2 linked regions of the Oryctolagus cuniculus genome follow. The protein of the gene in region 2 interacts with the protein of the main gene of each other region in a biochemical or structural test. Links are inferred from orthologs where the notes say so. Each region holds a gene or a part of one and is shown on either strand. Other genes may lie near its edges. The genes, in order: RRM2 and RRM1.

The links.
Region 1: the proteins of RRM1 (region 2) and RRM2 form a complex in vitro, tested with the Homo sapiens proteins (3 studies listed by BioGRID and IntAct). The link is inferred for Oryctolagus cuniculus from reciprocal best matches to the Homo sapiens genes RRM1 and RRM2.

What each region holds. Positions count from the first base shown.
Region 1 is NC_091433.1:192,177,168-192,179,961, reverse strand, and holds part of RRM2 (ribonucleoside-diphosphate reductase subunit M2), read left to right. Parts: intron 1-1,762; coding exon 1,763-1,857; intron 1,858-1,959; coding exon 1,960-2,093; intron 2,094-2,636; coding exon 2,637-2,741; intron 2,742-2,794. UniProt on the Homo sapiens protein: Provides the precursors necessary for DNA synthesis. Catalyzes the biosynthesis of deoxyribonucleotides from the corresponding ribonucleotides. Inhibits Wnt signaling.
Region 2 is NC_091432.1:62,784,854-62,788,672, reverse strand, and holds part of RRM1 (ribonucleoside-diphosphate reductase large subunit), read left to right. Parts: intron 1-257; coding exon 258-407; intron 408-996; coding exon 997-1,218; intron 1,219-3,438; coding exon 3,439-3,515; intron 3,516-3,819. UniProt on the Homo sapiens protein: Provides the precursors necessary for DNA synthesis. Catalyzes the biosynthesis of deoxyribonucleotides from the corresponding ribonucleotides.

The sequences.
Region 1 (2,794 bases), on a different chromosome or scaffold from region 2:
CTAGGCTAATCCTCCGCCTAGCGGCGCCGGCACCCCGGATTCTAGTCCTGGTCGGGGCGCCGGATTCTGTCCCGGTTGCCCCTCTTCCAGGCCAGCTCTCTGCTGTGGCCCGGGAGTGCAGTGGAGGATGGCCCAGGTGCTTGGGCCCTGCACCCCATGGGAGACCAGGAGAAGCACCTGGCTCCTGGCTCCTGCCATTGGATCAGCGCGGTGCGCCGGCCGCAGCGCGCCAGCCGCGGCGGCCATTGGAGGGTGAACCAACGGCAAAGGAAGACCTTTCTGTCTCTCTCTCTCACTGTCCACTCTGCCTGTCAAAAAAAAAAAAAAAAAAAAGATTTATTTGAAAGGCAAGATTACAGAGAGACCACAAGAGATCTTCAGCTGCTGGTTCATTCCCCAAATATCTGCAATGGCTAGGACTGGGCCAGACCCAAGCCAGGAGCTTCTCCCAGGTCTCCCAACATGGGTGCCGGGGCCCAAACACTTGGGTGGTCTGCTGCTGCTTCCCCAGGCACATTAGCTGGGAGCTGGATTGGAAGTGGAGCAGCCAAGACTCAAGCCTATGCCCATATGGGTGCTGGTGTCACAGGCTAAGGCTTTGCCTGCTCTGCCACAACACTGGCCCCAAATATTGAGTTTTTTTTTTACAGGCAGAGTGGACACTGAGAGACAGAAAGGTCTTCCTTTTTGCCGTTGGTTCACCCTCCAATGGCTGCCGCGGCCGGCGCGCTGTGCTGATTCGAAGGCAGGAGCCAGGTGCTTCTGGTCTCCCATGGGGTGCAGGGCCCAAGGAGTTTTGGGCCATCCTCCACTGCACTCCCAGGCCATAGCAGAGAGCTGGCCTGGAAGGGGGGCAACCGGGACAGAATCCGGTGCCCCAACCGGGACTAGAACCCGGTGTGTCGGCGCCGCTAGGTGGAGGATTAGCCTATTGAGCCGCGGCACTGGCTTGTTTTTTTGTTTTTAAGATTTATTTATTTATTGGAGCGGCAGAGAGATCTTCCATCCGCTGGTTCACTCCCCAATTGGCCGCAACAGCCGGAGCTGTGCTGATCTGAAGCCAGGAGCTTCTTCCAGGTTTCCCACACAGTGCAGGGGCCCAGCCAGGACTTGGGCCATCTTCTACTGCTTTCCCAGGCCAGAGCAGAGAGCTGGATCTGAAGAGGAGCAGCCGGGACTAGAACCGGCGCCCATATGGGACGCCTTCGCTTCATGCCAGGGCATTAATCCGCTGTGCCACAGTGCCGACCCTCAAATATTGAGATTTTTAGAAGTAATCATTCAGGGGCCAATGCTGTGGCACAGCCGGTTAAGCTGTGGCCTGCAGTGCCGGGATCCCATATAGGTGTTGGTTCAAGCCCTGACTGCTCCACCTCCAGTCCAGCTCTGCTGTGGCCTGGGAAAGCAGCGAAGGATGGCCCAGGTACTTGGGTCCCTGCACCCTCGTGGGAGACCCAGAAGAAGCTCCTGGCTCCAGGCTTTGGCCTGGCACAGTCCTGGCCATTGCAGCCATTTGGGGAGTGAACTGGTGGATGGGCGATCTCAACCTCTACCATCTCTCCTCTATAACTCTGCCTGTCAACTCTTTTTAAAAGTAATATTCAAGGGAAAAGCTAAATAGTGAAAAGAAAACAGTTCACTCTGAGTTCTTTTGGGGAGAGAGCTGACAGATAGTTGAACTTGGCTTTCAATCCGGTGCTGTTAGAAGTTTTGGGAATTGGAGGTCTTTGACCTAAATACTGATGCTGTCTACGCCTCCTAGGGAATTTCTCTTTAATGCCATTGAGACGATGCCTTGTGTCAAGAAGAAGGCGGATTGGGCCTTGCGTTGGATTGGGGACAAAGAGGCGACCTACGGTAAGCTTGCCCGTGGCCACCTTAGACCAGAGCGCGTGTTCCCGGTAATGACACTGCGGGTTTCCCTGGGAATGCCGTGACTCACTGGAAACTCTCGGACAGGAGAACGCGTCGTAGCCTTTGCTGCGGTGGAAGGCATCTTCTTCTCTGGTTCTTTTGCGTCGATTTTCTGGCTCAAGAAACGAGGACTGATGCCCGGGCTTACGTTCTCCAATGAACTTATTAGCAGGGATGAGGTGAGTCCAGTCTCAGGCTGCACCCTGAACACCTGCGGTTCTGAGAGGCACACAGGTCTCATGGCTCCATATCCACGTTTGTTTATTTCCTGTTTATTAAGATTTACTTATTTGAAGGGCAGAGTTAGAGAGGTCTTCCATCTGCTGATTTAACTTCCCGGTGTCTGCTGGGGCCGGGCCAGGTCAAAACCAGGACTCAGAACTCTGGTCTCCCGTGTGAGTGCAGGGGCCCCAGAACTTAGGCACCTGCTGCTGCCTTCCCAGGCGCACTAGCAGGAACTGGAGCAGAAGCGGAGCAGCCAGGACAAGCTGGTGCCCATATGGGATGCCGGTGTTGCAGCCAGCGGGTTAACCCCGTGCACGGCAGTGCCGGCCCATGTCCACATACATATTCAGCAAAAAATGAAGCCCTTTAACTTGCTGACATGTGTTCCCTATATTTATACATGCGTGTTGCTCTTCAGGCTGGACTGTAAAACTCCGTTCCGCTCTGGTAGGGGTCTTCTGGCTTCAGAGTGGTCTTGAGTTTAATTTCTTCCCCAGGGTTTGCACTGCGACTTTGCCTGCCTGATGTTCAAGCACCTGGTCCACAAGCCGTCGGAGCAGAGAGTCCAGGAGATCATCGTCAACGCTGTGAGGATAGAGCAGGTGCGTGGTACGCGTGGGCCCCCCACCCCGGGCTCCAGAAGGCCGCGAGCGAG
Region 2 (3,819 bases):
TTCTGGTCCAGCTCCCTGCTGATGTACCTGGGAAAGCAGCAGAAAATAGCCCAAGCCCTTGGGTCCCTGCACCCACTTAGGACACCTGAATAATAATGCTGAACAAACAGATGGATATTCTCCCTCTATTTCTCCCTCTTTTTCTGTAACTCTGCCTTTCAAATAAATCTTTACCAAAAAAAAAGAAAAAAAAGAAAGAGAGAGAGAAAGAAAGAAATCAAACTTACGATTCCTGACGCTTTCCCTTTGCATTCCAGGTTGCGGTTTGTAACTTGGCTTCCCTGGCCTTGAATATGTACGTCACACCAGAGCACACATATGACTTTAAGAAGTTGGCTGAAGTTACTAAAGTTATTGTCCGAAACTTGAATAAAATTATTGATATAAATTACTATCCTGTCCCAGAGGTATGAATAGATTTCTCTGTTTATTAATAACTTTTTTTTTTTTTTTATTATTATTATTATTTTTATTTTTGACAGGCAGAGTGGACAGTGAGAGAGAGAGACAGAGAGAAAGGTCTTCCTTTGCCGTTGGTTCACCCTCCAATGGCCGCCGCTGCAGCCGGCGCACCGCGCTGATCCGATGGCAGGAGCCAGGAGCCAGGTGCTTTTCCTGGTCTCCCATGGGGTGCAGGGCCCAAGCACCTGGGCCATCCTCCACTGCACTCCCTGGCCATAGCAGAGAGCTGGCCTGGAAGAGGGGCAACCGGGACAGAATCCGGCGCCCTGACCGGGACTAGAACCCGGTGTGCCGGCGCCGCAAGGTGGAGGATTAGCCTATTGAGCCACGGCGCCGGCCTGTTTATTAATAACTTTTGAAATCCAAGATGGAAGGAATTTATCCTGGTCTGCATTGTCATTTAAATGGTTATCGTTGGAGTTGTGTGAGAAAACCGAAGTAGGGGGAAATATGTGTTTTTAGTGTAGAATGTTGCCTTTTCTTTTCCATAATTTAACAGATATTCTGTTTTTCTTTAAATCTGTTGGCACAAAGGCCTGCTTATCAAATAAACGCCATCGTCCCATTGGAATTGGAGTACAAGGTCTGGCAGATGCTTTTATTCTGATGAGATATCCTTTTGAGAGTCCAGAGGCCCAATTGTTGAATAAGCAAATCTTTGAAACTATTTATTATGGAGCCTTGGAAGCCAGCTGTGACCTAGCCAAGGAGCATGGCCCATATGAAACCTATGAGGGCTGTCCAGTAAGCAAAGGAGTAAGTATATGAATGAAATGTCCTTTTACTTGTGAGTACCCATTGTGATCTGAATGGTAGTTCCCCAAAGGATATATCCACATCCTAGTCCCTATAATCTGTGATTGTCACTTACGTGGTTCAAAAAAGGGTCTCTGCAGATATAATTGAGATGTTGAGATGAAGAGATCATCCTGAATTATCTAGGTGGATTCTAAATCTACTGACAGTTGTCCTGTAAGAGAGACATAAACAAAAGAGAAGGAACGTGGAGGGAGAAATCCAAGTAATACAGGCACAAGCCCAGGAATGCTGATTGCCACTGGACACTAGAAGAGGCAATGAACAGAACCTCCTCTAGTGCCTCTGCAGGAAGTGTAGCCCCTCCCAACAGGTTTTTGAGTTCCTAGTCTCCAGAACTATGAAAGAATAAAATTAAAAAAAAATATTTATTGGAGCCTGTGCTGTGTGCAGCAGGTTAAAGCCCTGGTCTGAAGCGCTGGCATCCCATATGGGCACTGGTTCTGGTCCCGGCTGCTCCTCTTCTGATCCAGCTCTCTGCTATGGCCTGGGATGGCAGTAGGGGATGGCCTGGGTCCTTGGGCCCCTGCACCCACGTGGGAGACCCGGAAGAATCTCCTGGCTCCTGGCTTTGGATTGGTGCAGCTCCTGCCGTTGTGGCCATCTGGGGAGTGAACCAGCGGATGGAGGACCTCTCTCTCTGTCTCTACCTCTCTCTGTAACTCTGTCTTTCAAACAAATAAAATAAATCTTAAATAAATAAAACCATCAAACAAACAAAAATATTTATTTATTTGGAAGTCAGAGAGAGAGAGAGAGAGCGCACTTCCATCTGCTGGTTTACTCCCCAGGTGACCCCAATGGCCAGGGCTGGGCCAGGTTGAAGCCAGGAGCTTCATTTTGGTGTCTCACATGGGTATCGGGCCCAAGTACTTGGGCCATCATTTTGTTGCTTTTCCCAGGCCATTAGCAGGGAGATGGGTGGGAAGTGGGATGGTTGTGTTGCAGGCAGCAGCATTACCCACTTATGCCCCAACACTGGCCTTTACATTTGGTTGTTTTAAGCTCCAAAGTATATGGTAATTTGTTCCACCAGCCATGAGAAACTTCTGTACCTTTATCCTTTGGTGTAAAAATGATACTCTTAATTTTTTAAAATTTAGAAGTGGTCACTGCAGAAATAACAAGAAAAATGCTGCCTGCATTAGTTTTTTATTGCTAAATTTAGTGGATTATAAAAACATACATGTATTATCTCACAGTTTCCCTGTGTCAGTAGTTCAGGCTTGGCTTAGCTGACCGTCTTCTTTGGGTTTCATGAAGCTGTGGTGAAGATCTTGGTAGGGGCTATGGTCTCATCTATGGCTCAGGGTGCTCTTTCAAACTTATTTGGCTGTTGGCAGAATTCATTTTGTAGCTTTAAAACCTATGGCATCTTGCTTCTTCAAGACCAAGGGGAGAGACAATCTAAAGAGTCCTTCTGAGTGCTTTTATTAAGTCAGGTCTACCTTAGATAATTTTCTTTTTGTTTAGCTCAAACTGAACTGATTTGCAACCTTAATTGCACATTGCAAAAACTCTTTACCTGTTCTATAATCCTGAACATTCATCATATTCCCAGATGTCTACACTCAAGTAGAGGGAGTTGTACATGGCCAGTGTACTAGGGGGAGGTATCTGGGTTTGAATCTTAGAACTCTGCCCTCCATACCACCTTTATTATCAGTAGTATCAATAGGATTCCCTGCTACATAAAAATGTTCATTTAGCTCTGATGTTCTGCTGATACTTCAGAAATAAAATGTGTGGTGTTTGTAAATAGGTGATTTTAGCTGAGTTAAAAAGATCAAGGGACAGGGTAAGGCAGTGAAGAAAGATAAGGTCAGAGTGAACTGTTCCTGTAAAAAGAGAGAATGCATCTCAGCAGCAAGTATTCATGAACATTGGGATTTCCTAGTTTGTAGCTATGATGTGGGTTCTCTGAGAAGATTCAGCAGAGATGTGTGGAAGAGAAGGCCTTAGCCAGTTTTTTTAAGCCTGTTTCTGATCAGTATGAACACATGGACGTTTGTCCAGGAAAATCTGTGGACTTTGTATTCCTCACACAAATTGACTAGAAGAAAGCCTATGTTGGGATGACATGACAGTGGGCCATTTGTTTTGTTCTTGTTTTAAATTGTCATAGAGTGATGTCACAAATTTTGGCATTTTATTTCTTAGATTCTTCAGTATGATATGTGGAATGTTACTCCCACAGATCTTTGGGACTGGAAACTTCTTAAGGAGAAGATTGCAAAGTAAGTAGAGAGATTTAAGGTAGCTTCAAAGACAGGAGGGTTTGAGTTCTCCTTTGGCTCTTCAGAAAATAGACTTAACATTTTAACTTTTGAAACTAATTTTTTCTCCTCCTCTTTCAAATGGACCAAATGACCTACCTCAGAGCTATTTTTGGAAAAATACTTCATAAGATTTTGTATAGTAATCTGCAAGTTGCTTACCATAGTGAAAACAGCTGACCTTGTTTTAGGGACTTAAAGTCTAGATTAGATAATTCTTTTCCTCAATAAACCTTTATTTTTCCAAATATTCTTGATCTCTTAA